Macaca mulatta: one gene and its partner. The protein of the gene in region 2 interacts with the protein of the main gene of each other region in a pairwise test. Links are inferred from orthologs where the notes say so. Each region holds a gene or a part of one and is shown on either strand. Other genes may lie near its edges. The genes, in order: TAF1D and PTN.

What was found.
Region 1: the proteins of PTN (region 2) and TAF1D interact in a two-hybrid assay, tested with the Homo sapiens proteins (2 studies listed by BioGRID and IntAct). The link is inferred for Macaca mulatta from reciprocal best matches to the Homo sapiens genes PTN and TAF1D.

Annotation. Positions count from the first base shown.
Region 1 is NC_133419.1:94,573,119-94,588,821, forward strand, and holds TAF1D (TATA box-binding protein-associated factor RNA polymerase I subunit D), read right to left. Parts: upstream 10,011-15,703; 5' UTR 9,780-10,010; intron 7,819-9,779; 5' UTR 7,793-7,818; coding exon 7,725-7,792; intron 6,956-7,724; coding exon 6,565-6,955; intron 5,720-6,564; coding exon 5,544-5,719; intron 5,334-5,543; coding exon of another isoform or gene 5,303-5,333; exon of another isoform or gene 5,250-5,302; coding exon 5,192-5,249; intron 4,801-5,191; coding exon 4,690-4,800; coding exon of another isoform or gene 4,659-4,689; 3' UTR 3,491-4,658; downstream 1-3,490. UniProt on the Homo sapiens protein: Component of the transcription factor SL1/TIF-IB complex, which is involved in the assembly of the PIC (preinitiation complex) during RNA polymerase I-dependent transcription.
Region 2 is NC_133408.1:177,160,746-177,176,450, forward strand, and holds the start of PTN (pleiotrophin precursor), read right to left. Parts: upstream 8,166-15,705; 5' UTR 8,151-8,165; intron 6,513-8,150; exon of another isoform or gene 6,284-6,512; 5' UTR 6,218-6,283; intron 1-6,217.

The DNA of each region.
Region 1 (15,703 bases), on a different chromosome or scaffold from region 2:
AGAGCAGTTGAACATTTCGCCCATCATCATAACATCATTAATAATCAAGTTTAAACACGTAATAATGTAAGTCTAGTCTTTTTTTACTCCTAAGTGGTGACAAATGTTGCAATAGCATTACTAGATAAATAAATATAACCTAAAATAACACTTGGAAAAAAGCTAGTATTCAACAAAATAACCTGCATGGCCTTTTAAGTAATGAATTAACTTACCAAAAATCTTTGGGATCTAATTTCTTCAACCAATTTGCTTTAGGGTCCTAGAAGTTGAATTGTACAAAGTACAAATATTTTGACACCTGATCCAAGACACAGTCATGTACATTACAATGTTTCAGTCAATAGATAGCATACAAAAGAAAGTGGTCCTATTAAGAGCTGAAAATTCCTTATTACCTAAATAATAACATAGAAACTTAGAAATAACATATAGAATAACACAGAAACATACCGAAATATCGAAATAATAACAGAAACAATAGAAACTTATTGTTTCTAATATTGAAAAGTCAACATTTTTCTCCCACATATTTTACTCATAAGCATGGCAAAATGTTACAGGTCTCATTGTCACCACTGCAATATGCATACTGTGATGGAAGCATAACCTGTCTCAATTTAGCCACATTAACTATTTTTGGACACCATGATGATCAGCAGTGCCCATTCTCATCTAGAATGAGGCATTGTAGAAGTTTCTTTAAAGCTTAGTAGTGTATTTGTACGAAGTCCTTGTTACGCTGGCAATGCTACCAATAGAGGGAAACAAGCAGAATCAATATTAACAGAGAATCTTACCTTTTGATTGTAGGTGGTGGGGATCTGCCTGGTTCTCAATTTGACACCCTGGAAAAAGAAAAGCATTGCTTACTATTTTAGAGTATATCAAACTGAACACTGAGGAACCTATACAAATACTGTATCAATAGAAATACCAGGTTTAACAAGCACAAAGCCAAGAAAACCAACGATGCCAGATACTGAATTTCTATAGCACTGACCTTTGAACACCCTAGCAGGAGTAAACTGCTGAGTGCAGATACCATGCAGTGCAATTATGACTGAACTGTCACATTCATATTCATATTCGTATTCCCAAATGTGCAATGTTTCTACTGAGAAAAGCTTTCACAAACCTCTCAAATTCAAGTTCCTTTAACAAGTACAATAATTTGACCTTTTTTCCTAATTGTCACTGTAATAAGCTGCATTAACTGTATTTTAAGCTACAACTCTAGTCTTTTCCTAATCTTTGCCCAGTCTCCATATAACTTACAAATGGAATATATACATGTAACTTAACAGATCAAGCAGACTACAAATGTCAAGCTCATTGTTGCTCAAACTGCCAGTTACACAAACCTCTTTTAATGTAATTCATATCCCTATTGATTCAACATATCCATACAGGTTTACGTGACTTTAGGATGAAGTATGTGTAACTGCCAGTTCAATAACAATGCAAAGAACACAGGTAATTTCATTTGGTAGGTCTAGACATGCAGTCTCTTCATTTTCCTTCTCTATACAAATATATAGTAACATTTTTGCCAGTATCTTACTAATTCTGTGTTATACCTGAAATACTGGGATGGTGTACTTAATTTCTATTTTTCATCTTTTGAGTCCTTGATTATTAAAAGTTAAATATTTTACTTACCTCTCAACATGAATGAGTTCAAATCACATTCATTCCTATAGAAAGTACCAATTAAAGATTTAGAAAGGATATATTTCCAGTTATTAAAACTAATACCCAAGTATAAATTTAAGATCCAGTTTTATATAGCCACATCCAGCTCTGTCAGAATTAAGTTTTAGTTCATGCCCTTATCATTCAGCAGTTGAACAGTTAAATTCATCATCTGAACTGTAATCATATTTCCCAAAAGATTATACTGTCACCAATTAAAACTTACCTAAGCGATCACTCAAGAATGGTACAGATGTGTGGTTTTTTCCAATACCTAAGGTAAAAAAGTAAATTATCTGGTTTTTCATAACGTTAAAACTTTTAGCAACTGTCTTGTAGTTCCTTCCCACAGACCTAACAATAGTCCTGTGAGTAAAGTAAAACCACAGAGTTACTCTATGAGGCGTTTCCAACGACGTGCAGGCTACAGGAAAAGCCCCATCGGGATAGACCTCAACCACTATTTACAAGGTTTTGATTTTTTTTTTAAAGACACAGGATATGCCGTGTCTTTTGAAAATCGTGTGATTCTTGCTGAATCGCTTGAGCCCAAGGGTTTGAGGCTACAGTGAGATGTGGCAGGATCACATCTCATTGTAGCCTCGAACCACTGGGCTCAAGGGATTATCCTGCCTTAGCCTCCAGAGTAGCTGGGGACCGCAGGCACCACTGTGCCCAGCTAGTATTTATATATATAAATAACAAAGTCTAACACTCCATAGGAAAAAATTATGAGCAGAAACTGCAATATGCTCTTACAATATTGCAAACTGTAAAAACTTCCTACCACCTTAATTACAAAAACAATAATTTCACAATCACATTGTGCTTAGGAGCCAGAGGAATGAAAAATAAAAATAAATACCATCAAGTAGCTCCTGTAGATGAGCCAAAGGAAAAGGATTTAAACTTAAGATTTAAGTTTAAAGCATAACTCTTGTTATGAACTTCAATACTGCAAATAGAGGATGTTGTTTTCCCATTTCAAAGATTTCAGCAAATTTTAATTCTTGGTTCAAAATTAGTTGTCATCCATTATAAAATACAGGAAAATGTGTCTGTAAGTTATGACTTTGGCATTATATAACTTTTAATCAAACTCTGCATCATTCAAATTTATGAATTCTTATGACCTATGTAATCTTTTATTATACTATATTTGCATTAAACCATAAAATCCTCTACCTCACTTTAGATTGTACATTAATACAAAATAATGTTGTAGGCTTCAAGTAGGAATTCCAAAGTTCCGATTATTGCTACAAACTAACAAATTCAGAATCCTCTAATGCTTGCAACTAAAATGAATCTGACACATCACTAAGAAGAATCTAGGATTCTTTTCAGAAATCAATATAATTGGGAATTAAAAGTATGGTAGAAATGTCTCTGAATAAAATGAAACTTGCTTGCTCTGACAACATACTGTTTCCTACACATAAATATGTGACAACTCAAATTGAGACATACCTTTAACTCCAGACATCATGTTCTCAAGATAAAAGCCTTTAAAACAAAAAGCCATCATATATATCGTCAACATGAAATTGGAATGCAAAATTAATACTGCTGAGGATTTCCCTCATATCCATGCTGTTTATCTATTCTACAGTCCTAGAATCAACCTTTTTTTCTTAAGAGACAGTGTCTGTCTTTGTTACCCAGGCTGGAGTAGTGATGCCATCAAAGTTCAGTGCAGCCCCCAATTCTTGGGCTCAATCCTTTTGCCTCAACCTCCCCTTTCTGAGTAGCTCCAACTACAGGCACATGCCCCATTACCCAGCTAATTTTTCAATTTTTGTGGAGATGCCCAGGCTGGTCTTGAACTCCTGGTTTTAAGCAATGTGGGGACTGCAGACTTGAGCCATTGCACCTGGCCTGGAACCAACCTTTATAACTGTCTCAGGTATCATAATATCCCTTCTTATATGTATCAAAACTCATACTGAACAATGAGTTCTGGGTTGCAAAAGAGGATTTATTTTTTGCACCTATCCATAAGTCTTTGTCCACATTAAACAAAAACATACGTTAAGTGCAGTCCTAAAATGCACTACATAGTCAGCTTTATCGTGATCAAAATAATGAACATTGGGGTAATCACTGTGGTTCTCCCTGTGTGTCCATGTTAAATAAATGTGTATGCCTTTTCTTGAACTAATAAAGTGAAAATGGTAGTTCAAAGTAATATTAGTCCAGGTGCCGTGGCTCACGCCTGTAATCCCAGCACTTTGGGAGGCCAAGGCAGGCAGATCGCCTGAAGTCAGGAGTTCAAGACCATGGTGAAACCCTGTCTCTACTAAAAATACAAACATTAGCTGGGTGTGGTGGCTAACGCCTATAATCCCAGCTACTCAGGAGGCTGTGGCAGAATTGCTTGAACCTGGGAGACAGAGGCTCCAGTAAGCCAAGACTGCACCACTGCACTACAGCCTGGGTGACAGATCAAGAACTGTCTTTAAAAAAAAAGAAAAAAAGTGTTAAAGATACTCTAAATTTGGGAAGGGAAATGAGGTTATTACAATACTAAACATCTGAGAGGTCACTTTTGTCATGTCTGAACAAAGCTGGAATAAGAGCATTTCAAATACCCTCTTGAAGATGGTTGGGTGTCAAGTTATTTTGTCTAAGATTTTCTTTTCAAAATTAAAATCACTACACTTCACTGTTGTAATACTCACAGGACACCTGCAAGCTCTTATTCAGAAATCAACTGACAATTTTTCAAATTTTTCTATGTATTTTCTCTGGTGTTTTAATGGGTTTTTTTTCTAATTACTACTACTTCACAAGTTTCTTTCACAAACTTCTTCACAGGGTTGAAATTTTTTTTGTTATAAAGTTCTGGGTTTCAGCATTTCTTCACCACCAGACTGGTATATATATATCCACATTTATCATCTTTATTCATTTCTATGAAGTTGTTTTTTCTATATGCTTCACCTTTGACATTCATGATCCTGTCACATTTTCAGGGCTCTCTGTCCAGTATTTTTAGCTTTTGTAGCTCTTTTTAGACAAAGCAGCTTCTTCAGTACTATCCTCTTCTTCTAAGTATACACTCAGTCTTACAGGGAATTCAGAACTTACTATGAAACTATCCCCCTGCATAAAACAAACAAACAAAAAAATAATGGATTAAGCAATAACTCAAATGGCTTAGTAATTACATATAGCTGAGTGCCCTGGATTACTTCAGATAACCTAGAGACTACATGTAGATGTTAAAAATCTAAATTAACATCTGCTTATTTTTTCATTTGATATCCTAACTAGCAATATTACGTATCAGAATGCTAATTATTAAAAATAGTACTGGAAACCCCATGTTCTTTATCAAGTCTCTAAAAAATTAGTATTTTCCTTCCTGCATTTCCTGCAGTAAACTTACTGAGCTTTTCAAAAGTTAAATGAAGTGTAAGAGAAAAACTAAATACAATTCCTTCTGTACCAACCAACTCCTGCCTTCCCAAAATGGAACAGAAAAGTCACTTACTGCCAATTTGATATCACATTCATTATCTTCAAGATGTTTTGCATCCTCATCCTCTGCTCTGTAACATTAAAATTTATCATCATTGAGATGACAGAATCTTCTATGACCTCATTAGCTGTGTATTCCACTCTGAAAACTGAAACTGCAATACTAGTCAAGCAAACAAAATTTGAGAATGCTGTGTTCTAGAGAATTCTAGATGTACTGTGTGCTAAGCTTGGCTCAACTGTAATAATCCCAAGTGTCATACTCTATCTTTGTTCATTATTTAAGTATAACTATATTAAAGGCAAAAAATGAAGCAATTAACATAAAATTTAATTTATAACCTATTTCATATGATTCCACTTACGCTGACTCCTCAATAGGAGAAATGGATCCATCATCATCCAAAAATTTGTATCTACGACTATCAAAATCTTCATTTTCTAAATCTTCACCAACATCCATTTGTTTCAATGATTCTTTCAGGTGGTGTTCATACTTCAGTTTTTCAATGTAGTTAAAAAATCCTCTTGCAACAGCTTGCTATATATTAAAAACACCGTAAGTATGTCAAGATTTTTCTTTCACAACCCAGCAAGTGCCAATGTTCAACACCCCCCTTACCAAAGACTCTGAATTTGCTATCTTAACTACTCCCCACTTGTGGATATATCAAATGCTGTTTATTAAAATTCACATTACAATTATAAACTTACCTAAGCTGGTACAAAGGAAAAGTGAAGTACTACATATCTTGTCATGCCTGGGACTTACTAAAGGCATTTTAAAATGTAAAAACAGGAATAAGATTTCTAATGTTTACTATAATCACCTTAAGAGATTAACTGAAGAGATTAACATGTATTAATCCTCCCAGATAAAATTTCAGGTTCTGGCAAGAACCTGAAACTCTGCATTCATTCAACATACAACTCTCAAATATTTTAAAAAAGTCTACTCCTAAGTATTAGGGTATTTTTCAGATGACTGGCTTAGAAATACCTAGGCCTTAAGAATGTATCCACTGAACATAAGGCATGTGTGGTTTTGGTTTAGGTTACTGCAAAAATAATTTCATGTGAGCTTTTATTATCCCTACTGAGTTTTAGGGTTGTGTTTAAGACCTGAGATGGGATGAGATCAAAGCATTTTATACAAAGAGCCTTGGAGCACTATCTTTTAAATCTGGCCAAAGTGTAGTAATTGAAGAGATACAAGTCAAGTTTCAGTTAAAGGATGGGGTGGACTTTAGGGGGAAGTCAGTATAGAAGAGTATCGAAATTGCGGACAGTGTGTTCCCAGCATATCTGAGACAATTCTAAACTGGCCAACAAATCATTTTGGGCATCTGAGTTATGTGTAGCCATATATATAAAATGCTGACTCACCTCAAACGTTAAAATTTTTCTCCAAGGCGGGTTTTTTTCATTCTCTGATTCTAAAAATGGGAAGCCAGATCCTTTGCTTCTAAATTGTTTCTTTTTATCTATTAGTGAGGATATAGGATTTCTCCTTCCTTCTGGTCTTCCCCTTGGTCTTCCTGTTGGCTGGTACCTCTTCTTTTTCTTTTTTTTGTACTTCTTTTTCCTGTTCTTGAATCTTTCAAAAATAGCTTTTATAGTCAATGGTATTGGTTCAAAAGATGAGTCACTTGATGAATCACTTGCGTGAACACTTTCAGGTGTACGAACAAATTTTCGAATGGGGTTTCTTTTCCCCCGTTTAGGTGAGTAAGGGATACACTGAGTTTTAAATAAGCTGCTATCAGAAGAGTTATCACTAGAAAAATGAGAAAAAAATTAATTTCCTCTTTCTTACTGAATGCTTATTACCAGTAATACCCAGTCCCAAATATACATTTCTTCCAAGACCAACTCAGGAAAACATATCCAGAATTAAAAATTTTTTAAAGGATGGGCTCAGAACCAGCTGCCTTTCTGCTGACCATCCTACTTAAATAGCTCATAAAGCTACAGCTCTTATTAAAAAGAGTTTTGTAGACATCGTCTTGCTGTTACCCAGACTGGAGTACAGTGGTGCAATCACAGCTCACTGCAACCTCAAACTCCTGGAACTCCAGGGATGCTCCTGACTCAGCCTCCCAAGTAGCTAGCTAGGACTAATGGCATGCACCACTGTGCTCAGCTTAGAAAAAAACTATGTATCTTTCAAGATAACGTATGAGCTCCACAAAGGCTGTATGGTTCCGTTCACTGCTAAGAGTGAGTAAAACAAACACAGCCTACCAGACAGAAACAGGAAGAGGTAGTCTGGAAGAGATGCTAATATGACCCAAAGAATACATTTTTTTCTTGAAGAATGTGTCCCATTATAATATATTCACATTTTGAATTTAAAGTATTTGCAATGCTATTATCAATCTACATTAACTAGATAAACCTGGAAGGTCAGTGAAATCTGGTTTTCCTTCTTTCCCAATTCCTGAAAATCATCTTTACTGTCACTCATTATATAAAATAATTTCTCATAATTCAGATACAATAAATATGATTGAATCCACTCAGTTCTCCAGTAAAAACCCACTTACCTTTGATTTGCAAGTTCCATAGCATCAGATGTCACATGGTCGGTAGAATCTATTCCTGATTTATCCATCAGTTGCTTTGTTTTATAACAGTTTTCTGAAATTATGAAATTTAGTAAATGTGACAAAGCTTCCCTAAATATTGACACAGTATCTACTATAGTATTCAACATGGTCAGACTATGCCACTGATTTTAGGCAAAATCATTTGCCGGGGTTAAGCTTCTTATCCATTTCAGATCAATTTCTTTAAAAAGAAATCCAGAAATTCTATTCACAGGTTCTTTCAGTTTTTACCCTCTAAATGTATTCAATGGAACAAGATTCCAAAAAAGTACTGTCACTTCCAAAAAAAGCATCTTTCAATATAAGTAGAAAATACAGTTTTATCATTAGCCACTTACTAACGTGCAATTACCAATACAGTATTAATGTAAAATTAAAAACCATTTTCCAAGATCAAAGAGGGAATTCCTAAGGCAAAATGTGCCCTATATAAACCAGGAAAAGGATCTCCAATCAACAGACCATTTTAAACTCCTGATCACCTCTCCATTATAATTCCTAGATTCTTCATTCCTAGATTCATTTAAGTAACTGAACTTTGTCATATTGTATCTTTGCCATTATTGGTGGAAACTGACAAGTTCTGAATTCTCAACCTTTTTCAATAAACTATCATAATTCTTTGTGTTTTCATCCCCATGGTAGAGTATACAACATGCCAAAAAAAGAAGAAAAAAAAGATTCCTTCTTGTGAGCTAAAAGAAAAAACAGGTTGGTCTGGGTGGCTCAGGCCTGTGTAACACAGCACTTTGGGAGGTCGAGGCGGGCGGATCGCTTGAGCCCAGGAGCTCAAGACCAACCTGGGCAACGTGGTGAAACTCCGTCTCTACAAAAAATACAAAAATTAGCCGGGCTAGTGGCGCGCGCCTGTGGTCAGGAGGCTGAGGTAGGTGAATACCTGAGCCTGGGAGGTGGAAGTTGTATGTAGTGAGCCTCAGCACACAAGGAGACCCTTGTCTCTACAAAAAATTCTTAAGATACTGCCTAGGTGTGGTGACCCGTGCCTGTGCTCCCAGCCACTCGGGAGGATCGCTTGAGCAGAGGTGGAGGTTGCAGTGAGCCGAGATTGCACCACTGCACCCCAGCCTGGACGACAGAACAAGACCCTGTCTCAGAAAAAAAAAAAAAAAAAAAATAGGCATGGCAACAAAAATGAAGGATAACTACTTATTTCACTATTGTACTTGCCTTAGTCAATCTCTTGTCTCATTCTGTAGCTTCTTGGGACCTAACATGAGTCATTGCATATAAATCCTAGGATGAACTAGCAAAACATTTAAAATATAAAACGATAAGGTTACCAAGAGCTCAGATTTGTTAAATGCCCAATGGACCCCTGTGGTAATTTTCTGGTAGTACGTCTTATTAGCTTAAGTACAGGATTCTACGAAGTCATTATATATCGAATGCTCAAAAACGGAATTCAACAAAAATTTGGCCCCATGCATTAATGGTATACCTGTGGCTAATTTTTTTTTAAAGTAGGGATTATCAAAATAAAGCTAGCTCAAGAATCACTTTTTTCTTAGTGTTTAGAAGACACTCCTACTTGGGTGTCGATGCATCCGCTGGAATTCTGCAATTCTTAGAGGCCACGTGGGCAGAAAGCGGCGCTTTACCCGGAGCTAATTCTGTGACCACCAGCGCGTCTCTCCGGGCAGCGCCTAACCTCCAGGAAACCGGCGCTACCAATGGGTACCTCACATATGAAGGTTAAATCATTTAAATTACGTTAAGAAGGTTAAACTTGTCTGCAACACGTTTTAACACCTCCATCTCAAGATATAATGAAGCCCGCCCACACTACAACCACGTTTGTGGGCCTCATACCAGCCGCGTGGCGCGGAGTGGCCTGCAACCGTGATCCCTTCACCCTCTCGGCCCGACTTCCGAGGCTCAATCCTCCGGAACAACGCAGGGGCCGAAACCCCAGATATGCAATGCCTCCCCTGCCCAACAAGCCCAGACGGCCTTGCCCTCTTGGCAACCTACCTAAAACCGCCTCACACCGGCCCCAACCGCGCACTTGCTGCCCGTAACCCAGGCCTCGGGCCAAAACCTGCGACTGGCCTGGTGCGTGAGTCCTGGAGATTTGCACACACCACCCTCCCGATTTCAGTCCTCCAACTCCGGAAAACTAGCCGATGTCCTCCAACCGCGCGGAAGAAAAGGGTGGGATATCCCCGCGGCCCAAGTAATAGTCAGGCAGAAATCTCGCGATACAATTTAGCTCCCGGGAAGAAGGCGAGCGGTGGGAGGAGTCGCGACGCGGGGGCGCCATTTTTCTCGCCGCGCAGGGAGGAGCGACTAACGTGGGCGGAGCTGTAGCTCGCTTACTCTGAGGAGGCGGGGTTGGCGTAGGCGGAGATCGGGATTCTGGTGTTTTGCTTGCGTGACCGATTCGGTAAGTGGAATAGCCAAGAACATTTCGGCAAATAACAAAAAGAAAATGTGCGGCCAATTGTGAGTGGATGAGAACTGCGAGGAAACAGCCTCTCAGCCCGGGTCGTTTCCGGTGGTCTCGCGTTTGCTGAGCTGTCTCCCGGCTTTCTAAACCTGGTCCAGAGTATGTGGTGAGGGTGACGGGTGGGATGTGTGAATGAGTGTTTTGTCATCCTGTGTCTACTTTTGCCTTCAAAACCCTTGTGTGTGAAAATATTCGGGAAGGTTACTCGAAGTTTGTAACCTTTGTGCTGGACGCCAGTGTTATGCCGTAGCACGCCCAGGTCTCCTCCCCACCTTTGCACCTGTTTCGGGAGCTCACCCTTTCTGCCTCCCAGGAATTGGCTAACACGTCACAAGTGAGACCTGTGGAGGATTTCTTTTTCCTGTTTCCTCCTACATCCTCCCCGCCCCCCACCATTAGTTCCTTGACCAGTTCCTGAGTTAAGATTAAGCTGTGTAAACTAGTTTAGTTTTGGTGGGGTTTTTTTCTTCGAAAGTTTTTTGGTTTTTTTTTTGTTTTTCGGTTTTTTGGGGTTTTTTTGAGACCGAGTTTCGCTCTTGTTGCCCAGGCTGGAGTGCAATGGCGCGATCTTGGCTCACCGCAACCTCCGCTTCCCGGGTTCAAGCGATTCTCCTGCCTCAGCCTCCCAAGTAGCTGAGATTACAGGCATGTGCCACCATGCCCTGCTAATTTTTTTGTACTTTTAGGAGACACGGGGTTTCTCCATGTTGGTCAGGCTGGTCTCGAACTCCTGACCTCAGGTGATCCACCCGCCTCGGCCTCCCAAAGTGCTGGGATTACAGGCGTGAGCCACCGGCCTCCCAAAGAAATTTTTAAAAGGATTGAACTGGTTTGATTTTTCTGGTTTCAAACTTCTGTTTTCATATGATACACCGCAAAAACCAGTAAAGCTGTCTAATCTTATTTTATAGTTTACATCATTTTAGGATAGAGCGTGCCTTAAAAGTAATCTGGTCTCTTTACCCTCCTTTGCTCCATAGATTGGACAATTTCGGGGATAAAAAGTCTGACACTGCATTTGATCCACAGGGGCTGGGCAGTGACTAAGCTCCAGGACTGGTATGGCATGTCCTTCACTGCCATATTCAGCAGCAAGCCTAGCTGTGTAATTTGTGAGGCTCAATGCAAAATGTAAATGCAGCGTCCCTTGTCCAAAAAGAAGGGGAAAAGTGGTATTAAAGGGAAGGAACAATTAACTCCTAATGCAGAATCACTGAAATTTCACATTTCATTTTGTATTTTTTCTTTTTTTTTTTTTTTTTTTTAAGAGACGGAGTCTTGCTCTGTAGCCCAGGCTGGAGTGCAGTGGCCGGATCTCAGCTCACTGCAACCCCCACCTCCCAGGCTCAAGAGATCCACCCACCTCAGTTTCCCAAGTGGCTGGGACTACAGGCGCCCGCCACCACACCCGGCTAATTTTTGTACTTTTAGTAGAGACTAGATTTCACCATGTTGGCCAGGCAGGTCTCAAACTCCTGACCTCAAGTGATCCACCTGCCTCGGCCTCCCAAAGTGCTGGGAGTACAGGCGTGAACCACCGCGCCCGGCCACATTTCATATTCCTTTGTTTTATAGAGACGGTCTTGCGCTGTCACCCAGGCTGGAGTGCAGTTGAAGCAAGATATTTCTCAGACCCCTTCGCGGTTCTTGGGGCTGCGGTGTCTCCCTTTCTCAGCCCGTAGCTCTCGACTCCTCGCGGGAAGGGGCGCGCGAGTGAATGAGGCGGGAACTGGAGTGCTGGAAGCTAGGAACTCCACTCACTCAGGCCTGCTGCGCCCCACCCTTTATGGGAGGGTGCGTAGGGGTGAGCAGATGCTGGAGCCCGAGCGAGTGGTCGCCGGCAGGAGCGAACTCCATGCAGGCCGTGCGGCTGTGTCTGAGGGATGCCCGCGACTCCTGAAGACCCACAACCTGTCTCACAATCTGTCATGGTTGTGAAAAGTTGAGAGAATGTCTGCACAGTGTCTAATGGTGTCTGGTACACAGTGTGCACTCAAATGGTAACCAGTTTAGTTGCGATAGTTGGTCTACCCCTTCAGGTGTTAACCTCTGCAGCTCCATTTCCTTTCTAGACCCTATTTCTGGGCCATCGCCTCCCACCAATTAGGTAGGAAAATATTGTTTGCCTCTATCTGGCCCAAGGCTATGTTCCTGGAGTTTATGTGAGAACCTAACCCCTTTCTCAGCTCCAACTGTAACCCTCTCCCCACCTCCAACACACACATACACGTGCTACCACACTGCCTACAGTGCCATCACCCTGCCTGAAGTTCACCTCATTTTAGGATTGGACGGGCCTTCATAATTTAAATTTTATTATGAAAAAGTGATAGGCTAAGGAACTCATTTAATTTTTTGTCTAAATGTCAAATATAGAGTAGAAAGCTCAAATATCTGTTATAGAAATACTTGAGAGTCCTGTATGCACTGTTATCCACAACCATTTAAACACTTATCCACAAATCCCTAGTAAGGACTCCTAATAAGTACATTTCTAAACCAGTTATTCAAGCTACATCCTCCCAGGATTGGACTTTGTTTCTACTTTGGTAGGGGCATAAATAAACAGAAACAACTGACCTAACTTTTTACTAAAGAAAAGAGATAATAAAGGGAATAAAATTAAGATTACATTTGGATTTTAACTTGTGTTTTTATTCCTACTGCCAGCAAAAATATCTAAAGTGCTTTTATTATCATTATAAATGAATATACTATTCGTTGTGCAGATTTTGACGTGTTCATAAATAAGTACCCAATGTTTGTTTGATAAAGAATGTGATAAAATGTTAACATTTGGGAAATCTGGGTGAAGAATATACAGGAATTATTTGTATGTAATATCTGTTAATCTAAAATTATTTAAAAGAAAAAGTTAAACTGTCTCATTCCTGAACAATTATAAATTATTCAACCCAAAACTGAAGGGGCCTGCCCCTCCACTCATGTGGGTATTTCTTGTCAGGTGGGACAAGAGACTGAGAAAAGAAATAAGACACAGAGACAAAGTATAGAGAAAGAACAGTGGGCCCAGGGGACCGGCACCGGCACTGGTCTCCGAGTTCCCTCACTATTTATTGATTACTATTTTCACTGTCTCGGAAAGGGGAGTATGACAGGACAACAGGGTGATGGTGGGGAGAAGGTCAGCAGGAAAACGTGAGTAAAGGAATCTGCGTCATAAATACGTTCAAGGGAAGGTACCGTGCCTGGACGTGTACATAGGCTGGATTTATGTTTCTCTTTACCCAGACATCTAAGTGTAGCAAAGAGTAACAGAGCAGTATTGCTGCCAGCATATCTCCTCTCCAGCCACAGCATGGTTTTCTCCTGTATCAGAATAGAACGAATAGGCGGCTTTACACGGAGACATTCCGTTCCCAGGGATATGCAGGAAACAGAGGCCTTCCTCTTATCTCAACAGCAAAGAGGCCTTCCTCTTTTACTAATCCTCCTCAGCACAGATCCTTTATGGGTGTGGGGCTGGGGGACGGTTAGGTCTTTCCCTTCCCACGAGGCCATATCTCAGGCTGTCTCAGTGGGGGGAAACCTTGGACAATACCCAGGCTTTCTCGGGTAGAGGTCCCTGCAGCTTTCCGTGGTGCATCATGTCCCTGGTTAATAGAGAATGGAGAATGGCGATGACTTTCACCAGGCATACTGTCTGCAAATATATTGTTAACAAGGCACATCCTGCACAGCCCTAAATCCCTTAAACCTTGATTCAATACAGCACATGTTTCTGTGATCACAGGGTTGGGACTAAAGTTACAGATTAACAGCATCTCAAATCAGAACAATTTTTCTTTGTACAGATCAAAATGGAGTTCCTTTTGTCTTCCTTTTCCGCATAGACACAGTGACAGTCTGATCTCTCTTTTCCTCACACAAAACTCTGTTTAAAATAATTTAAGTATGATTATGTAAGATTTGGGGGCCGGGCGTGGTGGCTCACGCCTGTAATCCTAGCACTTTGGGAGTCCGAGGCAAGTGGATTTGCTTGAGCTCAGGAGTTTGAGACTAGCCTGGGCAACATGGTGAAACCCCGTTTCTACTAAAATACAAAAAATTAGCCGGGCGTGATGGCACACGCCTGTAATCCCAGCCACTAGGGAGACTGAGACAGGAGAATCACTTGAACCTGGGAGGTGGAAGTTGCAGTGAGCCAAGATGGTGCCATAGTGCACTCCAGCCTGGGTGACAGCGAGACTCCATCTCAAAAAAAAAAAAAAAAAAGATTTGGGACGCTTTATAAACAGTTATATATATTTGGGAGATTAGATTACATATATTAAATCAAGAACAATAAAAGCTGGTATTTGATAAAGTACTGAAGTAAATGTAACATCCTAAAGGTATGTAATAGAATGGTTATAGAGGATATGTTGTTGAAAAGTACCGGAACTAGAAACCCAGTTTCTAAACAACCTACGACTCTTTGGAAAATTAGAAAAAAAAATTTAGAAGAATATTTCAGATGACTGAAGATCGCCTTTCCACTTGCTAAATAGGCATATTAAGGGCAGAGGCCACTCAGATTAATGAAGTGTTCTATTAACAATTTTAATGAAAACTCCTGCAGTACTCTTAGAAACACCCTTAAGAGTCTTGTCTGTGTTCCCTGTTGTGATTGGCCTGGAGTAGGATACCTGTCTACCTCATATTACTTGTATTTTTCCCTGCCTTCATTTTATCTCCCTCTGGTTGCACACTTCATCACTGAACACTTAAGGTAAGATAATAATCTATGTGTATGTGTACTTATTTGTTACAAAGTATACTTGGTATGTATTTTATTTTTTAGTTGCAATGATAGAAAAGCATATATTTAACTATCAAATTATAATTGGGTAGATTATCAGAATTGAACATTAAATCTGTTTACCAAGAAAGTATATTTATTTGTAAATGAAAATAAAAATTTGAATTTCAAAGGCTAATCATTCCATAAAAGTTTCCATTCGTATTTGTAATTTAAATTTTATTTTGACAAAATGATAGTCTAAGGAGCTCATTTAATTTTTGGCCTAAATGTGAAATATAGAATAGAAAACACACATATCTATTATAGAAATACTTGAGATCCTATCTGTACTGTACAAATCCTATATGTACTGTTATCTACAACCATTTAAACACTTATCCATAAACTCCTAATAAGTACCTTTTGCTTCAAGACCTATATTCCTTAGACCAACCATTAGAAAATTGGATGTTCACTCCAGCTATATGATTTTAAAAAAGAAAATGAATTGGCCGGGAGCAGTAACTCACACTTGTAATCCCAGCATTTTGGGAGGCAGAGGTGGGAGGATCGCTTGAGACCAGGAATTCAGGATCAGCCTAGGCAACATGGCAAGATCGTGTTTCTATTAAAAAATTAGTTTTAAATTTTAAATTAAAATAAAATAAAGTATAAGTATTAAAAGGTCACTTGTCTGTTTCTCAC
Region 2 (15,705 bases):
CTTCTGTAGGTTATTTGACCTCTAACTGTACATACATTGGACTTGGGGTTTGACATGAGAGACAAATGGGAGATAAAATCAATTTATTAGCCTAAGAAAGATGGCATTATATTACCGAGGAATAAACTCAAACCAGGAATTTTAAGACTTTTGTTTTCATATCTGTATGTCATTGAATGTGGCCCCCTTAACTTCTCTAAGCCTGCATTTCTGTATCAATTTTTTAAAAATCCCACTCAGTCTACCTGAGTAGAGTTACAAAAATATGATGAAAAAATAAATGTGAAACATTCTGAGAAAAAGACCTTATAGCTACATAGAAGTTATAATGAAAATAATGCTTCAAATGACTAGCTTTGTCACTTTGAATAACATGGTTTGTTAAAGAAGTGGTAAGTAAAGTTTTCTGCATTCTGGAGGTAGTCTTGAATCAGAAACTATGAAAAGTTTAAAATTATCAAGGTGAAATATGATTAGGAAGACACTCTAGAGAACTGGCAAGCCTATATGACATTTGGAATGAAGAGAGTGAAGGAAAGAGAGTGGGAGAAGTTTCTGGAGGTTCAAAGTTGAGCATGGGAATGCTTGGGCTTAAACAGGAAATAGGCACCAGGTTGTTTGGTAAGGCGAGGGGATTAGGCATAGAACACAGACGGTCAAGGTGGGTGGAACAACATGGGCAAAGAGAATGAAAGGCATTTAGAGCTGCCTATTTATTTTCTCGTTCATTTGCCATCTTCAATGGTTCTATGCTAAATATGCTAGGGTTCTTGAGAGAATGAGACACAGCCTCTGCCTTAATAGGGTACATAGGTTGGATGGGGTGGGGCTGGTGTCAAATGGTGAGAAAGGAGGAGCTGAAGTCACTATAAGGGGTGACGGTGACGGGGAGACTTTGAAGAAAAGAGAAGGGGAGAAATACAGCTCCACCTAGAGGGGCATTTGCCTTGGAAAACCTTTGGTGCCTTCAATTTCTGACTCAAGATTTCATCCAAATTCCACAGCTGAAGTACAAGGATTTGCCTTCTTTTCCTTCATGTATATGTTTTCATTAAAGGACACTCTTCTCGTCTGGTATAAATTTTCCTGAAAATGACATCTACAGTGAGTGCCATGTCTTAAAAATTGTATTGATTCTAAATAAAACTCAGTCTGAATTCTTAAGATGGCACTTCCAATAATTTGTTTCTGCTACGTTATGTGGCAAATGTGAAATGAAAACACGAAGGAATTAAGAGTTCAATTTATCTTCCAGAATAAACAGCATTAAAGGAATTAACAGACGTAATGCTTTTGAAATAGATGTTGGGTACCATTTAGCCTTTTGTGAGCTCCCCTTTCCTTTTTCTCATAAAAATGTGATCCCTTTGACATTGGAACTGCTTAGGGCAACAGTTGTACATATCTTATTCTAACTTGTGTTGTAGTAATTAGTGTTTTAATATTCTTACATATATATTGAGTAGATCATTAGCTGCTTGAAGACATATTTATTTGTCCTGTGTCCCTCATCACACCACCTACCATAGAGTACAGCAGTCACTATCCATAAAAGTCTGGTAGGGATAAAAATAAAATAACAAGAAGTCCTTTACTTCAATCTCCTCCTCAAAATAGAATTGTGCCCGAATGATTTCCTTCAGTATTCATTGAAAAAATATTAAAAATGTGAGTCTAGAGCTCATTACAGAGAATCTTCCTCCAATTCTCTTCAGATTTGAGAATTTTCCTTGTGAAAGAGTTAAAGCTCGAAGAACAGTTGTGACAATACTGAAGCATTTGGAGAGGAGAGAGGAAGGCGGGGAACTGAAATATTTGGAAATAAATGTACACATTTGGAAGACGAGGGAAAAAAAAAGCAAAACAAAAGGTGAAAAAAGGAGTGCCCAAAGAAATTAGGAAAATATTAAGATAATAACATATCAAGGAGGTTATGAGATAATCATAAAAGGTTGGGGTTAGCAACCTGTGACTTTTAAAGCATCTTTTCCAGAGATGGGTGAGGGCATAATGGATTTTAATTGAGATCTCCTTTAAATACATTTCTAATAAAGAATTTCACAAGTTCACACCACTTACCAAACACAAAGTATTAGATATTGTCGAACCATAGAGACAGACACCATGTTCTATTTCTTAAACATGCTACATTGTCCAGCACAATGTAGTATTAGGCATCCAACATACATACAATAAATATTGTTAAACTGGCTGGCCATAGGAGCAAGAAAAATTGTATTGTTGGATTAGGACCCCAAGAGGATGTGATGGAGATGAGTAACTCTAGCTGCACCGCTACATTGATACTGGGAAGCTGAGAAGAGAATGAGGTCAACACATTGCAGCAATGAAAATGTTGGCTGACCCTTAGCCAGGGTCTTGAGTCAAAAAAGAAAAGGGGAAAATACCACTGAATCAGTAGAGAGGGCATTGAAAACACCAGCTAGGAAGGTCCAAGTTGAAAACACCAGCTAGGAAGGTCCAAGTTTCCAAGAATGCCAACATATGGACAAACATTGCTGGTACATCTGTACATAGAGAAATGTATGCCATCATAGCAAGAGGGAATTGGGCAAGACGTTCTGGGACCTGTTGGGTGGGAAATAGTGGCAACAGAATTAATAGAGAAATGAGAGAAAGGAGGAGAAATAGGTCAACATAAAAGCAGGAAGAAAAGGGAGCAAAGGGTTAGAGACCCAGAATGCTATTTGTGTTTTAAAATGATGTTTTGGCTTTTGCTAAAAGCAATTCTTAGAATTAAGAGCCCAATTATCAGTTACTATGACTTACTTCTTTCAAGATTAATATATAGAAATTGATTTTTTGTTACACCATGTGTGAAGTGAAAAAAAATCTAAGAATTCTATTTTTAGAAAACTGGATATGATGTTTTTTCTATTTGAGATATCACTTTATCTAAACCACTATGAAAAAAAAGGTTCAATAAATAAAGCCTAGAAAAAGGAATTAAATTTTATTTCTAAAAATATCTCAAACATGAAGGAGTCATTGTATTCCTTGTCCACCCTGAAGAAATAGGGATTTGTGGTGAATGTGATCTACATAATTAAGTCCACAATATTACCATGTTTATAATACCCTCTGATAATGTTTCAGCATAGCTACCCTTTTAAGCTACTGTTTTAATCTCTTATTTATTAAATGCCAAAATAGAAAAAAAAAGAGGCTTGTTATATTTTACAATCTAGAAATATTTTAATGACACCATGAAATCTATGCCGCACACTAGACTGGCTTGAAGTGGATGGAAAAATTGCCCAGTGGGTGGAAACTTGAATTGTCCATAAACATCAGACGGAAAGACAACTTTCCATGAGGCCATGGCCCAAATTCCACTTAAGCCAATTGACTCTGAATGGAAAAAAGCAAGCCTAGCTCATAAAAAAAGGTTCATATCTGAGTATCATTTTACCTCCCCTCCCACAGCAGTGATATGACCTTGTGCCAGAAGGAGACAAAATCTCTTCGATTATTCATTTAGAAAAGAAGCCAGAGGAAAAAACATTCCTCACCCTTGTGAAGAAGCCCAACTCAACATCATTAGCAAAGCCATGGAACAAAGGCCATTGGAGGGCTCCCACTCAGCCTCATGCTCCAGAGAAAAGCACATCTCAAACTGGGCCGAGTTGCACTCAGGTGTGGAGGACGTTTGCACTCATCACATTGGGTGGTTTCAGTCTGGACACCTCCTTCCGGAGAGAAGTCAGGAACAACTTCCCATATCATTATGCTGCCATATTAAAAGGCATAATCGTTTAGAGAAGTAGAATTTTTATTCCAAATTTAGACTTCAGGCCTTCAATCTATTGTTAATTTATCACACCATTTTCAACGAGCCAGGTAAACTCAGTTTTGTGGGAAAGTTTTGAATAGTAATTAAAAACACCACATCACAATGGGAAGATGATCAGAATTCATGTGAGAATGTCATATAAGTGAGAAAGCAAGAATATCTTCAAAGGAAAAATAAAATATTTGAAGTTAAAATATTTGATATCTAAGATTGATTTTATTTTATAAAAATGATTCAACTATCTGGGGATCTTATTTCTCTCTGTTGTTTTCAACAACTAGGTTTTATGAAATTTTAAACCAGGCCATTGATTTGACTGAAATTTTAAAAACAATGAAAATGCAGATCTTGTTATGTGTTGCTATAAGTGAAGCCAAAATAAGGCACATGGAAAATATCAATAAATTAATAAGTTTATTATTCCAAATCTCATGATCTCATGGAAAGAGGTCTAAAAAACAGAGAATTATATATAATACATTAGACTATAAGTACAGTTAGGTATACCTTATTACTCTAATTCTCTACAATATCTCATTTAAAGTCAGATAATTAAAAAGTCATATATTTAATAGGGCTTTTATTTATCTCAAGCTCTAGCTTTGAGAACATAATGCATTTGCATCCAGAAGCAAACAGCTGGAACACAGCACCTAATGCTGTTATATGTGGCTTCAGGTGGGAGTTCCTTATAGTGACTTTTCACTAAATGCAGAAAAAGATGTCCTAAAGGGAACCAGTGAGCAGTGGCAGAGAAAAGATCACCTTCTATGTATTTAAAGTACAATTAGAGAACTTAAGGCCCAAGTTTCTTAAAGCACAAAAGAATGGTATTAGAGTTGTTCTTTTTTTAAATAATACAATTTTTTAAAATCTCACCTTCTAATTTAAATGAAAGAGTACAAATATTGCCAGTCTGAAATAACTCATGTCCCAAAGGAAGCAAAGAAATTCAAATTTCCTCTGAATTTAACTGGACTATATTTTTTAAATGACTTGGCCTTTAAAGTGCATAATTTACTTAAAAGGAAACATAACGAAGATGGAAAACACAGCTTTATTTTCTGCACTGGGAGACTTCTGTTTTGTTTCATTGTCATTACCTTTTAATATTCCTACATATCAACGCATTCCCAGATAATTAAGGGGCTAACATGGGCCCTGCTGTTTCATCAATTCCACATTTGCCTACGATCATAAAATTGCTTCATTATGTTATTAGTTCAAAAGTTCTTTTTGGTAATTCCTGAATCTCCTCCCGTACCCCTCTCTCCAGCACACACACACACACACACACACACGCACATGCACACATCACCCCTTTCTCAGGCTGCTAAAGCAAAATGCCTGGTGACTCTTAACATGAGAAATGTTCAAGGACTGGAGCTTTAATGTTCTCTCCTCTTAGGACCCCTATCCCTCCTATTTTCTGAATGTGTCCCCAAACTTACAAAGCAGCTCTTAATAGACACAAGGGTGAGTTAACACTAGAGTGTATATAAATTGCATGTATGTGTTCCTGTGTGTGTGTGTTGTGTTATGTCATGGAGAAAGGGGTGTGTGTGTGTATGGAGAGGAGAGAGAAGGCTTCACTTTACATCTATTAAGTAAGAAAGGAGTTGAATATATTCCTCCCAAAAAATATTTTCTTAACTTATTAGAAACAACAACTCAGAAACTCTAAAAATCTAGTAAATTAGTAACAAATATATCCTAAATTTATGTGGGTCAAATTAAAAGTTTAATGGGTCTATGTACAGGGCAGTTCTTTAAATTTGCATTCAAACGAGAGACGGGACTCCAGATGTGTCTTCTAAACTTCGGTTCTAACCATTTCTGGAACCATTCCTGGGCTGTCAGGTGGGAAGACGGGTGCCACTAGTGCTGTGAGAGAGGTTCCATGTCAGCGAGCACTGGGAGGAACAAACCCGCAGCGCTTACCTAGAAATGCCAGCTAAGAGTCATGGGCTGGCGGGCCCTGGGGCAATCAGAGAATCAGAGAGAGGTTGGGAAAATGAGAGCTGCTTGTTCAGGCTGCCGTACTTTCTCTCCAACTACTCAGCCAGAGACACACCTACTAAAGCTCCAGGTTTTACGAAAAGCAAAGGTGCACTCTCCAGCCCACCGCTGGAACACGGTCCAAATGCACGCTTAACATCACAAAAACTTCTTTCCTTTCACTTACCTAAGCACACCCTAACTAACCTAACCTGAAACCCCCAAAATACGCCTCCCTTGGCCTCTGGAGCAAGTCAGTTTTGAAAGCAGTCCTATCAGCAAAGACACCGGGCAGCCTCTCTCACTCCTACCACCATCATGTGTTGGTACCCAGAAAAGTGGCACAAGGTGAAGGCAAACTCGATCGAAGAGCCCTCCGAGAAATCGCACATTCCTCTCACTTACTTTGAGTTGCAAACGTCCCCTCTGGCGCTCAGTCTGCCTTTGTTGCAAGGGGCGAGGTTGCTACGGCTGAGTCCAGGTACCCGGCTCGCTGCAGCTCCTGCTTGGTCTGCTGCTGCTCTCCCCGCCTTCTGGACGGATGACTCACTGGTCTCTTTCTTCCCCTCTCTCCACTTTGGATTTTCCTCTGCTCTGGGGCTCTCTTGGCGGGATTTTTGGACTGGAAGGCGGGGAACCTGATCCTGCCTTTGACTCAATTACGCCCTGACAGGGAGGGAACGGAAGGGAAATGGAGAATGGGAGGGATGAGAGGAGCGGGCCAGGAGGACGCAGGCTGGGCGAGGGAGGGAGAGCGTTTTGCACTCGAGAGCTGATTGGGAAGCTTATTAAAAGCAGAATACTCCAGGGGCAGTCTCTCCCCGCGGAGCAAGAAAGAAAACGGATTTGAACCAAGAGGCCATGAGATGGTACCTTGTTTTGTTTCTAGCAGAGACCAAACACAACATTTCTTTTCCAAACTCCACCCATGATCTATTCTTCAGATGAGTGCAAAGCCACTTTGCCAAATAGAATATTTTAAATGGACAATTGATGGCATTTTAGGTTACAGTTTTGGCCCCCCACAATCCTTTAATGATATTCAGGATGAAAAAGCACTCTCTTCGAACCAGCCTCTTCTTCCACCCACGAAAGCCCTCCCTATACACAGAGGCAGTTACCCAGCTGTCAGTCACATCTCACCTGCAAAGCACAAAATGTACAAAGTACTTTTTCTCAATTGTCACAGAGTGACAGACGTCTGAAAGTTCCCAATTAAGTGCTACTTACCTTTAGGGAGAGCTCTTTCCTTTTTTGGTTTCCTTGGCACGTTTAGCAACCTATTCAGTAACATGCCTTTGACACCCAAGAATTTAGAGGATTCGTCAATGTAGCTCAAACTCTGAGGTTTGTAAAACTTGGAGGCTGGACTTTGCATCTCTCTGGAATTTTCATTTCATTCAATTGAGGAAAGATGCTAAGGCAATGCATAGGTAAATATTTATGATATAGATGAGATAAAAGTATTGTGTAAAAGGATTAAGACGTATTACACAAATTCACCCAAACATTTTAAAAATGTAAATTTTGAGATTTTCTGCCACTTATCAGCTTTTCCTGCTCCTTGGTTAGTTCCTTTTACCTACTTTTACTGCTCAGCTTATCATTTGATGGCATCCATCCCAAATTGCTTGTAAAAGAGACTCGCATTTTTCATAGTTCTGAGGTTACATCCGTTCATTTCAATTTGACAAATATTTATTAAGCAACGTATTTACTTAGAACTATCCTTAAACCCCCAAACTAGAAGCATTGTCTTGTGGCAAGTAGTTTTTAGGGACTTGGGGCTCTTATATTGACTGCTACCTGTAGAAATGTCCCTTGGAGAAGTTAGCTGGAACCAAAGAGGTGGCTCTACAAACTCAATCAAGCAGTCAGTCAAGCTTTTCAAAAGGAACAGCATCAGAGATGCACTTACACACATACAGTTTATCCCCCTTCCCAAACCCTTCATACACATACCACATACAATTCTCAAATGAAATAACTAAATAAGGAAGCTGTGTTCCTTTCTTCTATACACAGGCTTCAGGTTACCTATTTTCCTTTTGTGATTCCACTTCCGTGTGAAGAAAGCATTGTTTGTTTTAATCGGATTTCACCTGTATAAAGTGTGGCAGAATGCACATTGTCATTTTTATAAGTATTTTGCCCAGTCCCTTTACAGAAAAAGATGTCTCAGCATTCTATTAACACTCCACAGGGGCAAAGTTTCTAAGGCATTGAACAAAGAGCTATTCATTTTCTTTCTGTTCTTCAGCTTTAACATATGTAACATACGTACATACAAATGTATATACTATATATATATACACAAATGTAACATACAGCTAGCTACCAGTTAGGTGAACAATGCTGGCTTGATTGAGGTGCTCTCTATAGGGTTGATAAAGTAAGCAGGAGAGTCCTATGATTTCTACTCAATTACATATGTTATATCAAAAATATCACCCTTTATTCAGATAGGTGTATACTAAAATTGCATACATCAGTGATTATCAATTGGGAGCAATTTTGCCCTCCAGGAAAAGTGAATAATGTCTGGAGATAGTCTTGGTTGTCGCAAATTGGGGGAAGAGGTTGCTCTGGCATCTAGTGGGTAGAAGCTGGGGATGCTGTTAAACATCATACAATGCATAGTTAAACATCATACAATGCCTACTCCATAGGCAAAGCTGCCCCAGTGGCTGCTGGCTATCCACCTTTATGGTCATTTCCTGATTGTATGCTAAACAAGGGGTAGTTTATTCATGAATTTTCCTGGAAAGAGGTAGGCAGCTCCCAGAACTGAGGGTTCCTCCCCTTTTTAGACCATATATGGTAACTTCCTGACATTGCCATGGCATTTGTAAACTGTCCTGGTGCTGGTGGGAGTGACTTTTGGCATGCTAATGTGTTATAATTAGCATATAATGAGCAGTGAGGACAACCAGAGATCACTCTCCTGGCCATCTTTGTTTTGGTGGGCTTTGGCTGCCTTCTTTACAACAAGCTGTTTTATCAGCAAGTTCCTTATGACCTGTATCTTGTGCCAACCTCCTATCTCATCCTGTGACTTAGAATGCCTAACCTCCTGGCAATGAAGCCCAGTAGGTATCAGCCTTATTTTAACCAGCTCCTATTCAAGATGGAGTTGCTCTAGTTCAACCGCCTCTGACACCTCCACAACAAAGAATTATTTGGCCCAAAATGTTAACAGGGTTGAAGTTAAGAAAACCTAATGTTATTCGCCACGGTATTTTAAAAATGCAAAGACAGATTAAAGAGAGTTTGTGTTTTTTTAATAAATAGAAATTTATGAGATTGGGATTAGTCATAATTTAATTCAATCCAGCATTTTCATGAAAGTTGAAGTAGAATATGTTTTTTTAATACACAGTGAAATACTCAATTTCAAATCCAAATTTCATTCTAGGGCATAGTCTAGGGTCTATTGATTCCAGAGTCCAAGTTATTTCATTCATTAGGCTAATATCCTTTAAGCACTTAAGTCTTTAGCTTAATAGAACCATGAAGAAAAACTGTTGACAATCCCTACTCTCAGATAGCCTATGTTGTTGTTCTTTCTTTTTTTTTTTTTTTTTTTTTGAGATGGAGTTTCACTCTTGTTGCCCAGGCTGGAGCGCAATGGCGTGATCTTGGCTCACCCAGGTTCAAGCAATTCTCTTGCTACAGGCTCCCGAGTAGCTGGGATTACAGGCATGTGCCACCACGCTTGGCTAATTTTGTATTTTTAGTAGAGATGGGGTTTCTCCATGTTGGTCAGGCTGGTCTCAAACTCCTGACCTCAGGTGATCCACCCACCTTGGCCTCACAAAATGCTGGGATTATAGGCGTGCACCACCGCATCCAGCCCTATGTTTCTATTCTTAATGAGTCAATTAAAATTTTTTAATAGATGTGATAAGTAACATGAAAAAATAAGGCAATGATGGAAGATAAAGTGTCAATTTGGGGGAGAAAATCTCATTGGGATGATATTTGACAGAAGACTTAGAAGAATTGAGGATGCTGGCCAAGTAAATATTTGGGGGAAGAGCTTGTAGGCAAAGGCATCAACAAAGGCAAAGACTCTGATGTCTGACCTTGCCCCAAGTTTTTTGGGGAAGAAAAGGAGGCCACCGTGGCAGGAACTCAGTGAGAGGAGGCAGGCATTAAGGAAAGTAATGGGCCAGATCACCTATGACCTTTGTCCACTGTAAGGAATTTCATTTTTGCTCTGAATGAGGTGGGAAGCCATGAAGAGTGACTAAACCTGACTCTGGTTTAAAACGTCCTCTCTGCTGTGTTGAATAGAGCACAGGAGGATGAGGCTGGAAGCAGACAGCCCAGTAGGAGGCTACTGCACTAACCCACTCCTCAAAAGTCTTCCCCTTGTTCCTGTTTCTTGTGCAAAATAATCAACTCCAAACTTGCTCTTTAGTACTTTCTCTGCCTACACAAGCTCCTGTCAGCAGTATCTTCGGCTTGCTAATGTCAGTTCTCAGCCTCTCCAGGTGTAATGAACATGCCCCTTGCATGAGTGTTACCAGGCCAAAATATAACTAATGCAAGGTGATTTGAAATCACAGAAATTATAACATGTCCCAAGGGTATTTTGAAAATGAGGCTGCTGATTTTGCAGTGGCAAATGCAAGGAGCAGTGTGATCAACATGAAGTTAAAAAAGGTGAAGGAACCTGATGAAAAATTTGCCAGCTTGTCTCTTTGATTGCCTACTTGACAAGATGTTTAGAATTCTTGATTGCCACTCCAGGTTCTTCAGTATCCCTAGAATGTAAAAGGACAATTCATCAAACTTTCACAGCATTCTAGAAGCCCCATTAATACATCTCTCTCCCTCTCTCTGAAATATTTGAAAGGTAATAAAAACAAATCTTTTACTTTGTTTTTTATTGATGTGGCAAGATTACAAAATTTACTTCTATATTAGATACATTTTTATAATAATTATGATTTTTCATTAAAAAACATAAAGCAAACAACAATGGCTTAGAAATTCTAGGAATTTATCTCACAAACAACACAAGTGGATAGTCAATGCTTCAAAGTCTTCAAGAACTGAAGTCTTTCTATCTTTTGACTCGGCATTTTCAAATTTGCAGCCCAATGCTCTTCAATATGATTTTAAGGAGCTCCAATCATATTTGGCTTAAAAAGTTTAAAATAGACCCAAATTCTAGTGCAGAGTAGGTCAGCTTCTCTAGTCACATAGCCACACAGGCTATGTCAGCACAAGGAAGAGGCAAACAGAATTTGGGAAGCAAACAAAGCTTGCTACAATTTCTCCCTAAAAAGTTATAAATTTGGACTTTATCAGTGTCTTATGAATCTAAGCAGCTTGACTTAAGACCCTCAATCTTGTCTTTTTTGCCAAGAACTGCTAAAATCAAGGTTCTGAAAGAGGAGGTCTTGGACAATGACCTCACTCAGACTTACACAGAAAACTAGACCTGAAATGTCAAAAGAAGTTTGATCATACATTACAAGAAAACCAAATATACAGAGCAAAATATAAAATGAACATGGATGCAAAAGTCTTTAACGAATATCATCATATCAATGTGATTAATGTATAAAAAGTGTAATACTATGCATCATATTGGATATTTATTTCAGGAGTGCAAGTTTGGTTTTACATGTAAAAAGTAAAATTCATATTTAAAGATTAAGCAGGGGGAAAAGGGAATACATTAATATATATAGGAAAAGCATCTGACAAAATTCAACATCCATTCATAATTTAAAATTCATTAACTTAAGAATATGAATGACTACTCTTATTCTGATAAGAGATGTCCACAGAAAGCTAAAGGATACTTAATAGGGAAAGTAAATACTTTCCACCTAAAATCAAGAACAAGGCAAGAATTGCCACTCTTACCATTTTTATTCTATATTAAATGAGAAATATTAGCCAATAAAATAAGTCCAGAAAAAGAAAAAAACATGAAAAGGAGGGGCATGGTTCACTTTATTTTCAGATAACTTGAGTATATACGTAGACATTGATCAAAAATGCACAGAAAAGCTTCTAGAACTAATTTGTGACTTCACTTGGATACAAGTCAATACTATAAAGATCAATTTTATTTCTAATGATGAACAATTATCAAAATATGAAATATTTGGTGGTTTATGCCTGTAATCCCAGCACTTTGGGGGGCCGAGGTGGGCAGACCATGAGGCCAAGAGATCGAGACCATCCTGGCCAACATGGTGAAACCCCATCTCTACTAAAAATACAAAAATTAGCTGGGCGTGGTGGCACCTGCCTGTAATCCCAGCTACTCGGGAGGCTGAGGCAGGAGAATCGATTGAACCTGGGAGGCAGAGGTTGCAGTGAGGTGAGATCACACCACTGCACTCCAGTCTGGCAACAGAGTGAGGCTCTGTCGAACAAAAGAGAGAGAGAGAGAAAGAAAAGAAGGAAAGAAGGAAAGAAGAAGGAAAGAAGGAAAGAGAAGGAAGGAAGGAAGGAAGGAAGGAAGGAAGGAAGGAAGGAAGGAAGGAAGGAAGGAAGGAAGGAAAGAAGGAAAGAAGGAAAGAAGGAAGGAAGGAAGGAAGGAAAGAAAGAAAAGAAAGAAAGAAAGAAAGAAAGAAAGAAAGAAAGAAAGAAAGAAAGAAAGAAAGAAAGAAAGAAAGAAAGAAAGAAAAGAAAAGAAAAGAAAGAAGGAAGGAAGGAAGGAAGGAAAGAAGGAAAGAAAGAGAAAGAAAGAAAAAGAAAAAGAGAAAGAGAAAGAAAGAAAGAAAGAGAAAGAGAGAAAGAGAGAGACACTTAGGGATAACTTTAGCAAAATATTTTCAAGCCTTATTCATTGAAAACCACAGAACATTTCTGAGATAACTTATAAAACACCTAAATAGAGAGATTCATCATGTTCAGCAATTTGAAAATTTAAGATTGTTATGACATACATTCTTTGTCTATTTATCTATAAATATCATTAAAGCCAAATCCCAATAAGTGCCTTTATAGAAATTGACAATCTAAAACCAAAGTTTATACGGAAGTGCAAAGGACATAGACTAGGCAAACAATTTTTGAAATTAAAAAAAAGATAGAGGACTCTACTTGGTCTCACTATAAACCTACAATAATCAAGATTATTATACAGTACTGGCATAAAGATAGACTTACAGAACAATAGGAAACAATGGTCAGTTCACAAATAGAAATAAACATTTTTCAATGGGGAAAGGATAGGTTGTCCAGCAAATGATGCTGAAAGAACTGGATATCCATATGGAAAGACATAAACTCTGAGATCATAGAGAAAAATTAACTCAAAATGAATTAAAGGGCTAAACATAAAAGCAAATGCTATGACATTTCTACAATGTAATAAGAGAAAATCTTTGTTATTTTGGGGTAGGCAAAGATTTCTCAGCTAGCATGTAAAAATTACAAACTGTTATTAAAATATTGATAAATTAGGCTTCATCAAAATTAAAATTTTACTCTTTGAAAGCCATCATTAAACATAATAGGCCAGGCACAGTGGCTCACACCTGTAATCCCAGCACTCTGGGAGTCCAAGGCGGGAAGATCACTTGAGGCTGAGAACTGGAGACCAGCCTGGGCAACACAGCGAGACCTCATCTCTACAAAAAATAATTTTTTGAAAAAATTAGCTGAGTGTTGTGGTACATGCCTATAGTCCAAGCTGCTAGGAAGGGTGAGGTGGGGGGGTCAGTTGAGCCAAGGAGTTCAAAGCTGTAGTGAGCTATGATCACACCACTGCACTCCAATCTGAGGGACAAAGTAAGACTTCGTGTCAAGAAAAAAGAAAGAAAGAAAGGAAGGAAGGAGCGAAGGAAGGAAGGAAGAAAGGAAGGAAGGAGGGAAGGAAGGAGGGAGGGAGGGAAGGAAGGAAGGAGGGAGGGAGGGAGGGAGGGAGGGAGGGAGGGAGGAAGGAAGGAAGGAAGGAAGGAAGGAAGGAAGGAAGGAAGGAAGGAAGGAAGGAAGGAAGGAAGGAAGGGACATTAATTAATAATCATAATAAGGCAATCCAGAGAATGCAAGTATTCTCGTAATACATGTCTGACAAAGCTAACCGAGTAATCAGAAACCAATCAATCCAACAAAAAATAGGCAAAAGACCTCAATAGACACTTTGCAAAAGAAAATATATAAATGCCAATAAGCATATGAGAAATGGATACCTTCATTTGCCCTGTCAAAGAAAAGCAAACTAAAACTTCAATGAGCTGCCACCTACACACCTACCCAAAGAGCTAAAATTAAAAGGGCTGGAAATCCCAAGTGTTGGTAGGAATGTAAAATAGTACAACCACTTCGGAAAACCATTTGACAGCTTCTTATAAATTAAACGTGCACCTACCATATGATTAGACTTTCCTAGACATATTAGACTGTTCACTCTTAGGTATTTGCTCTACAGAAATATGTGTTCCAAAAAGAGGTTTGTACATAGATGCCCATAGCATCTTAATTCATAATAGTTCCAAATTAGAAATCCATCAATTGATGAACATATTATTAAAGTTTAGTAGAGCCTTTCAATGAGATATTATTCATCAACAAAAGAATAATCTACTGATAAATGAAAAAAATATGGATTAACTTCAAAAACACTGCACAGAGAAAAGCAAGCCAGACACTTATGAGCACATACTGTATATGCTGATTTCATTATATGAATTTCTAGAAAAAGCAACCCTAAGGGTTTGCACTGGCAAAATATGGATCAGTGGTTGCCTGGGACTCCAAGTTGGGGAGGGGGAGAGAAATTGATAGAACTTCCAAATATTCTACTAATGTGGTGATTACATGGAATATACACTTGTCAAAAGTCATCAAACTGTACACTTAAATGGGTGCATTTTATTGTGTGTAACTAAAATTCCTGACTGTATCTCAATGAAATTTATTTAAGAAATAAAATAAGCTGGGCACTATGGCCCAAGACTGTAGTCCCAGCCACTGGGGATGCTGAGGTAGGATTGCTTGAGTCCAGGTGTTCAAGGCCAGCCTGGGCTACATAGCAGGACCCTGTCTCTAAAAAAGTAAATAAATAAAATAAAATAAAGAGATAACATGGTGTAATGGTTAACACCATTGACTGTGTAGTCAGATTGCCTGATTTCAAAGCCTAGGCCTTTTACTCACACTATCTGTGTGACTTTTGGTATGTTACTTAACCCCTCTGTGCCTTAGGTTAACATTTGTAAAGTAAAGATAATAATATTCCTTGTCGCATTCTTTTGCTAAAAATTAAACATTTAACATGTTTAGAATGCTGCTTGGTAATTAATACACACTGTATTATCACTTATCAAATTTAAAAGAATCTTTAAAAATACTCACATTCTGGGCCAGATATTGCATTAAGTTGGAACTCCATTCATGTGAGAGAAAAAAAAAGTATGCTGTGAAGTAAAAAATCCTTTAAACATACATTCTGTTAAGGAAAAGTTGTATCCTGAGACTTTCAATAGTAGTTTCTTCATTTTAAGAAATAGATTTTATTTGTTCATTGCTCCAAGTAGACTCTGAACTCCTATTATTAACAGATACTCAATTGGCATTAACCAGGAAGGATGTCTGCAGTGTGTAAGTGCCTGGCCAGTCAGCCCTCTTGAGATTCTGCTTCAGGACTAGCTCATCCAGGACAGCAGGTGCTCTGTCCTCAAAGAGATTACGTACATGGCAGTACTGAAAAATGCATATGAGTTTACAGTGATAGGTTGTTTTCTTGGTCCAAAAGAGAAAGCATCCAAGATTAGGGAAAATGAAAGAAGACTCCATAGAAATGAAAGAGTTTATACTGGGTTTTGAAAAGGGGGTTTAGAAACAATGTGATGAGTGGAGTCGGTGATGTCTATTATTCTAGACTAGGAAGCCCCAGAACTCCAGGAGGAGTTCTGGAA